2 linked regions of the Macaca fascicularis genome follow. The main gene of each other region encodes a partner of the protein of the gene in region 2 in a complex. Links are inferred from orthologs where the notes say so. Each region holds a gene or a part of one and is shown on either strand. Other genes may lie near its edges. The genes, in order: SLN and ATP2A1.

Region 1 (4,249 bases), on a different chromosome or scaffold from region 2:
ATACTTTGAGAACATATGCAATGAAGTCATCAAATTATTGTCTTCAGTGAGGTAGTGTAAATTGCACATTATTCAGGCAGTCTAAATGAAATTAAAGATTTATGTATTTTGAATAATTAGATATTTATATCTTAGATATTTAGGGCCAAAGTCTACTGTAGAGTGAAAGTTTAGGGAGAAAAGGTGTTTTGTTTGTTTGCTAAAGGTGAGAGTTCAAGAGGCTGAAAGGGTTGTGAGCAAGCTTTTGGTCTGAGCGGTATTTTTTTAACTATCTAACATGACTGAATTATTAATTGTAATTACTGTATTGATTATATTATCAATGGACCAAATTATTAATTGCATAAATGCCAACTGAATAATCATTTTTCGTATTGTGTAACTGGCATAACATACAGGTTCAGCCAGGCATGGCAGTGGGTACCCGTAGTCCTAGCTACTTGCGAAGCTGAGGTGGGAGGATTCCTTGAGCCTAAGAGTTTAAGACCAGCCTAGGCAACATAATGAGACCCTGTCTCAAAAAAAAATACAAGTTCAAATCGGATGGTGCCAGCCAGCAAATATATAGCCAAATGATGACAGATTTATGTTTCATCTCCCTTTTAATTGTTATCCATCTTTTAGACCTCAGCATGAAGGAAATAGTAAATTGCCAATGAAAACGATCGCAAATGGCTGGGCATGGTGGCTCATGCCTCTAATGAGCACTTTGGGAGGCTTGCACATTATTCAGGCAGTCTAATAATGAGTGGGAGGATCACCTGAGCCTAGGAGTTCAAGAGCAGCCTGGATAACATAGCAAGACCCTGTCTCTCCAAGAAAATAAAAAGGGGAAAAAATAGAAAATCTTTACAAAGATTTGCTTGGAGGAGAAAGTAAACAGAAGAAAATGAATGGATCAAGGAAAAAGGATTTATGAGAATGTACAAAAGAGCAGAGGAGAACAGAAAGGTAATGAGTCTTGCCAAGGTGCCTGGAGGCAAAGGAATGAGAAATGAAGACAGATTCTTTCTTATAGACTTATCAATGAAATAAAACCCTAGTCCAAATGTCCATGTATTTGGGTAAGTTCTCAAGAAATGCAGAAAATATGAAGCCTGGCTTATAATGATCAAAACAATTCAATTCAAGGAGGGCAAAATAACGGTCCCACCAAATCTGCCTATTAAATTAAGCTGTTAAGTCACAGGAATCATGGATAGTGATCCAACAGGATATACTCAGAAAATGAGAAAAATACTATTGAAAGCTGTTCCACAGCTCTGTTCGTGTTACCTTCACAACAACGCAGGCAAGTGTTACTGCAGTTTTTCTCTTTCTCAAGATTGCAGCTGAGAAACTGACTTTTAGAGAGAGGAGATTAAGATGTTTGTGTAATGACAGATAACAAGTTAGAGGCAAAGCTAGAATTAGCAGACTGGAACTAGTTACTAGAATTGTGGTCACTTCCTAGGAGTTATGACATAATTGAATTATCACTGCAATTAACTGGCCTGGCTAAACAAAGTTAGCATAAATTTTCTACCACTTTGGAAAACAATTTGGCTTTCTTAGAATTAATGGTGAAAATGTTCATTCTCTAATATCTAGCATTTCACTTCTACCTTAAGACATTTAAGGACGTGTGTGCCAGGTTACATAAACAAAGAGGTTCACAGCAATATTATCACAATAACTCCAAGCTGGAAACAACTCAAATGTTTATCAACAGCAGAATGGATGATAAATTGTGGTATATTCATACATTTGAATTTTATAAAGCAAAGAAAACGTATGAACTATAGCTACACACAAAATGGGTAGATCTCACAAATATAACTGTTGGGTGAAAGAATTTACAAAAGAAACATAGAATATGACTCCATTTATATGAAGTCAAAAATAGGGAGGCTAATCATACTGTTTAGGAATGCACACATAGATGGTCAAACTATAAAGAATAACAGGGACAAGAGGATCCCAACATCTGAGGCAGAAGGGCAGGATGGGGGTTGATCAGGAATGGGTTTCTGGGCGCTGGCAATGATCTGTTTCTTGAGCTGGATGATAATTATAGAAGTGTTGCCTTTTAGTTACTGTTTAAACTGTATATGTTTATGCACTCTTTACATTTTTTTTTTCAGTCATCTCTGAATTAGCAGGCTACCCATCACACTTCTTTCTTTCTTGGGATTTACTTCTTACTACTTCTTGCACTTTAACGGTGACCTTAAGTATTTATTGTTTTATGTGATTTTAGATGAATTAAACATAAAGAGTTAAGTTGAGAATTTCTAGTGAATTCAATTCAATCAACACATATACTAACTGTAAGGTGTGGTGTGAACATTCCTTTCACACACATTTATACACTTTAGGAAGAATGAACCAGTTAGGCAGAAATTCAGATCAGCCAAGTTCCATTTTTCTGCTGTTAACCCATAAAGACACTTTGGGTTTCATTTTAAACATTCCCTGAAGTCAAGGTCATGCCATATGATCCAGTGATTGCAAGTGGATGAACTAAAACCCAAAAAAGCTCTGAATAAATTGTACAGGAAGCTTGACGTTGGTTTTCTTTGAATGGAGACTTAGAGAAGATAGCAAACAGACCTTCTTCCATAATACCAAAAAAAATTTTTTTTTTTTTTTTTACTAGGAAGGGAAAAAATGCATACCCTTAGGAGAAAGAAAAGGAAAAGAGAAAGCAATAGTATTCACTTTATACCTTAAGGCACGCTGTATACAAGGGGCATTGCCTATTTCATTAAGAAATGTAAACATTCCTGTGCCTTTCTCATTTGCAGCTTGTACACACACACACACCGTATGCTAAGCATAAAAATCCTGCAGTTACCTGAAGAGGATCAGAGACACACCCTGGCTATAGCAGGTTTCTCCTCGCTGTCTCCAACTTCAGCTCCAACTCCTTCTCCCCTCCCAGGCTGTCTGGACTCCTAGACTCTGGGCAGTGCCTAAAGTAGTCCGTGGAAGCTGGCAATCACTGTGATGTCACTGATGAAATATCTCAAAGGAACACCCTCCGAAGGTTCGAGGCTATTTGTGTTCAGGGGGACATGGGAATATGTTGACTAAGACTCTGTTCCTTTGGCTGCCAATTTGCCACTACCAGGATTTAAAAACCTTCTGTTTCCAGTTGACTTTTAGTGCAATTGACGTGGGTTTTAAATGTATCTTTTACATCTTCACGAATATCTTTAACATGTCTTTAAAACATCCTAAACCAAGAATGATAGACTAATTTTAACCAGTCGATGCTGCATTTGACTGCTCTCCCTAGTCAGCATGTGAGGTGTAAAAATGTGACTTCATTTTACCACCCATATCTTTAGTTATTTGAAATGTGAAGAGTTTGCTGCTTTACACCCACACACATGCACACCCATACACACACACACACACACACACACACACACACTCCAGAATTCAATAGGCATCTTTAGCTCTTTGAAAACTGACTTTAGTCCAAGCAGTGAAAGCTATCCCCTCAGTCACCTGCTCCACATAACTTTCCGGCTAAGCTGTGCATTGCAAGTTTACATGTGGATCTACAGTTTCATCTGAAACAGCCGAGGAAGTCATGGTTTGTATATCTCTGTCAATAAATTAATAGAGCAGTAAACTCACAGAGTTCAACTCAGTTATTTGGATAGATTGGGGGGGAAGGAGAACTGGGGTAAAATTAGTGGAAAATGTGAATTATAGAATATATCTGAATGAAAGACAAGTATTATATAACTTTCTAACACAAACATTGACTAAAATTAGACTAAGATGAGTTTGTAACCAACATATCACATGTTTAGAGCCCCTGAAGTGTTTCATTAGACTTGAAAGCAGATCAATTGAGTACTTTAAACATGACCCTAGCCATTGTGTTTGCTCAGCAGATCCTTTCTTTATAGATAATAGAGGAAATCTCCCCCTCTGAATTCCCAGTTAGGGTCAATCAAAATAATGCATTCCCAAAAGGCATAAACAAACGAAATTCTCTACGTAGTTGTGCCCGTCGTGAAACCTTTCCGTCCATTCCATTCCTCATACCCCAGAGACATTACCAAAACAAGACTTTCCATTTCGTTTCCTCATTTTAACATAAGCTTAGCGATGGGTAATCTTAATACAACATTCTGTCCCCACTTGTCTTGTGAAAAGAGAGCTTGCTGAAGTGACAGAGAGTGTATAATAATTATAGTGCAATCGAACATTGGCATTATCTGTTGCCATCTGGCAAACTCCTTGAATGTAG
Region 2 (3,814 bases):
GTTGGCCAGGATGGTCTTGAACTCCTGCCAGGTGATCCACCTGCCTCAGCCTCCTAAAGTGCTGTGATTACAGGTGTGAGCCACCTCGCCCAGCCTCAGTAACGATTGTTTTATGGCTTTGATGGAGAATGATTGCAACAGCTTGGTGGGAAGTGGGTAGGGTATATGGGGGGTGGGGGACAGGGAGGGGTGAGTAGGAGGGTGGGAGGGTAGGTGTTGGCAGCACAGGCCTCCTTTGATGCAGGCGCCCACCTCGGGATGGGGAGAGGTGGACATCTGTGTGCCTGCCCTTCTCCCCTGCAGATGTTTATCATTGATAAGGTGGATGGGGACATCTGCCTCCTGAATGAGTTCTCCATCACCGGCTCCACTTACGCTCCAGAGGGAGAGGTGTAAGTCACCCAGGCAACTTCTCCCCAGCTCCTCACGCCCCTCCCCACACCCCCTTTCTCCCTGGGACCCTCCATGTGGTTTTGCTTTCCTTTCACTCTCCCCTTCCTCCCTGACCTTGTTCTCTCCTGATATCCAAGTTGGCTCTCCCTACTGTCCTTCCTGACCCTCGGCTGCCTGCTCTTCCTGTGCCCTCTCTGCATCTCATTCCCTGTTCTTCTCCACTGTCTCTGTCCCTTCCTCCTCCGACCCTGCTGCCAGCTTGAAGAATGATAAGCCAGTCCGGCCAGGGCAGTATGACGGGCTGGTGGAGCTGGCCACCATCTGTGCCCTCTGCAATGACTCCTCCTTGGACTTCAACGAGGTAACCTCTCCTTCCCCTTCCAGTTGGCTCAGAGTCTGAGCCTCCTCTGAAGGCCAGGAGGAAAGGGTTGGAGGAAGGGGACCCAGTACACCCAGTCCTCTGCCAGCGTGCAAGGGAGGCAGTGGCTTGCTTCCTTCTTACGCTAGGTGGAAGGTGGGTGTGACAGGTGGGAGCCTGGGGCACCTACTTCCTCTTCCTCCTCTGCCCATCTCAGGCCAAAGGTGTCTATGAGAAGGTTGGCGAGGCCACCGAGACAGCACTCACCACCCTGGTGGAGAAGATGAATGTATTCAACACAGATGTGAGAAGCCTCTCGAAGGTGGAGAGAGCCAACGCCTGCAACTCGGTGAGCCTGCAGAGCCCCTGCCACAGGGCCATCTCCACTCTATGCTGCACAGACCAGAGGAAGGCAGAGGCCCTGGTTGGACTGGGTAGAGCCTAGTGCCTGTGCTGGGACCCCACCCAGGCAGTGGACGGCCCCCCACAGCTTCTCCGCAGGCTGATGTGGGTGGGACCCATTGTCCCTGGTGCTGCCTGGCAGCTATGCCCTTGATGGATCTATGATCACTTCTGCCTGCTGTGTCCTGAGTTGAAGTGGACAAAGCTGGACACGGAAACTACAAGGGACCCATCCAGGAGCAGCCCCAACTTCATCTGTTATCCCTTTGTTTCTAGAAGCACACTTGCTTTCAGCAGATCATGAGTCCTGACTTAGGATTTAGGAAATGTGGCTGCTGCACCTACAGGGAAAGCCTTTCCTTGCCCAGATGAACTCAGCCACTTCTGGGACTGTCACTCCCAGTTATTGCTATTGATACTTGCTGAACGTCTCCATTAAGCACCTCTCTCTGGTGAATTATATTCCCCACGTTTCTCTCTTTTTTTGTATATACAAAATGCTCATTGCTACTTTATTTAATATAACAAAAAAGCAGGTGAGACACAGAGACTCACGCCTGTAGTTCCAGCGTTCTGGGAGGCTGAGGTGGGAGGATCACTTGACCCCAGGAGTTCAAGACCGGCCTAGGCAACACAGTGAGACCCCATCTCTACAAATAAAAAAAAAAAAAAAGGGCCAGGCGTGGTGGCTCACGCCTGTAATCCCAGCACTTTGGGAGGCCGAGGCGGGCAGATCACGAGGTCAGGAGATTGAGACCATCCTGGCTAACACGGTGAAACCCCGTGTCTACTAAAAATACAAAAATTATCTGGGCATGGTGTCAGGTGCCTGCAGTCCCAGCTACTCGGGAGGCTGAGGCAGGAGAATGGCGTGAACCCGGGAGGCGGAGCTTGCAGTGAGCTGAGATTGTGCCCCTGCGCTCCAGCCTGGGCAACAAAGTGAGACTCCGTCTCAAAAAAAAAAAAAGATAGAAAAATATTAGTTGGGTGTGGTGGTACAAAACTGTCCTCTAGCTACTAGGAAGGCTAAGGTGCGAGGACTGCTTGAGCCTAGGAGGTCAAGGCTATAGTGAGCAGTGATTGCACCACTGCACTGCAGCCTGGGCAACAGAGGGAGACCCTGTCTTAAAAATAAACAAACAAACTGAAAGCAACTTAAATACCTATCAATAGAGGATTAATTTTAAAAATTTATAAATTATAATGCAAACATAAATTTTTATTTATTTATTTTTGAGATGGGGTCTTGGCCTGTCGCCCAGGCTGGAGTGCAATGGCTATTCATAGGTGCGATCATAGCGCACTGTGGCCTTTAACTCCTGGCCTCAAGTGGTCCTCCTGCCTCAGCCTTTCAAGTAGATGAAGCTATAGGCATGCACCACTTCTCCTGGCTATTGATTTTCTGTTCCTTTTATTTTTGTTTTGTTTTTTGGAGAAGTATCCATGATACATTTGGTGAAAAAGGCTTTCATTCTTTTTGTTTGTCTGTTTTGAGACAGTCTTGCTCTGTCACCCCATTCTGGAGTACAGTGGCACGATCTCAGCTCACCACAACCTCCGCCTCCCGGGTTCAAGCAATTTTCCCGCCTCAGCCTCCCTAGTAGCTGGAATTACAGATGCAAGCCACCACGCCCAGCTAACTTTTTGTATTTTAGTAGAGATGAGGTTATTTTTTTTGAGACAGAGTCTTTCTCCTTTGCCCAGGCCGAAGTGCAGTAGAGCGATCTCGGCTCACTGCAACTTCCGCCTCCCAGGTTCAAGCAATTCTCTTGCCTCAGCCTCCTGAGTAGCTAGAATTACAGGCATGCACCACCACACCCAATTAGTTTTTGTATTTTTAGTAGAGATGGGGTTTCACCATGTTGGTCAGGCTGGTCTCGAACTCTTGACCTCGTGATCCTCCTGCCTCAGCCTCCCAAAGTGCTGGAATTACAGGCGTGAGCCACTGCACCTGGCCTTCATTTTTTTTTTTTTTTTTTTTTTTGAGACAGAGTTTCGCTGTTGTTGCCCAGGCTGGAGTGCAATGGTGTGATCTCTGCTCACCGAAACCTCCGCCTCCCAGGTTCAAGTGATTCTCCTGCCTCAGCCTCCCGAGTAGCTGTGATTACAGGCATGTGCCACCACGCCCGGCTAATTTTGTATTTTTAGTAGAGACGGGGGTTCTCCATGTTGGTCAGGTTGGTCTACTACTAAAAAATACAAAAATTAGCTGGACGTGGTGGCGTGTGCCTAAAATCCCAGCTACTCAGGGGGCTAAGGCAGGATTGCGCCACTGCACTCCAGCCTGAGCAACAGAGCAAGACTCCATCTCAATATAAATAAATAAAAATTAATTCAAATTAAATAATATACAGAGCACCTCCAATGCTCCACAGCAATTGCTCAGTTGTACCAATTGTACAGTGCAGATCACAGAACATTTCTATCGTTACTGAAAGTTATAGGGCCAGGTGTGGTGGTTCATGCCTGTAATCCCAATGCTTTGGGAGGCCAAGGCAAGAGGATTGCTTGAGGCCAGGAGTGAAACCAGGCTGGACAACATAGGGAGACTCTATCTTTAAAACACTTTTTTAAAATTAGCCTGGAGTGGTGGCATACACCTGTGGTCCCAGCTACTCAGCTGGCTGGGAGGCTGAGGCAGGAGGATTGCCAGAGCCAAGG

What was found.
Region 1: the proteins of ATP2A1 (region 2) and SLN are in contact, whole or in part, in a crystal structure (PDB 3W5A), measured with the Oryctolagus cuniculus proteins. The link is inferred for Macaca fascicularis from reciprocal best matches to the Homo sapiens genes ATP2A1 and SLN. Residues at the interface, in XP_069919846.1 of Oryctolagus cuniculus: Phe88, Val89, Leu96, Ala100, Ile103, Val104, Trp107, Arg110, Asn111, Asn114, Arg324, Lys328, Trp794, Leu797, Gly801, Leu802, Thr805, Ala806, Phe809, Trp932, Ser936, Leu939, Leu943, Leu946, Ile947, Val950, Pro952, Leu953, Ile956; in NP_001075856.1 of Oryctolagus cuniculus: Met1, Glu2, Arg3, Ser4, Thr5, Arg6, Glu7, Leu8, Leu10, Asn11, Phe12, Val14, Val15, Thr18, Val19, Leu21, Ile22, Trp23, Leu25, Val26, Tyr29.

Annotation. Positions count from the first base shown.
Region 1 is NC_088388.1:106,717,444-106,721,692, forward strand, and holds the start of SLN (sarcolipin), read right to left. Parts: upstream 2,931-4,249; 5' UTR 2,837-2,930; intron 1-2,836. UniProt on the Homo sapiens protein: Reversibly inhibits the activity of ATP2A1/SERCA1 and ATP2A2/SERCA2 in sarcoplasmic reticulum by decreasing the apparent affinity of the ATPase for Ca(2+). Also inhibits the activity of ATP2A3/SERCA3.
Region 2 is NC_088394.1:27,574,190-27,578,003, reverse strand, and holds part of ATP2A1 (sarcoplasmic/endoplasmic reticulum calcium ATPase 1), read left to right. Parts: intron 1-303; coding exon 304-392; intron 393-651; coding exon 652-754; intron 755-968; coding exon 969-1,100; intron 1,101-3,814. UniProt on the Homo sapiens protein: Key regulator of striated muscle performance by acting as the major Ca(2+) ATPase responsible for the reuptake of cytosolic Ca(2+) into the sarcoplasmic reticulum.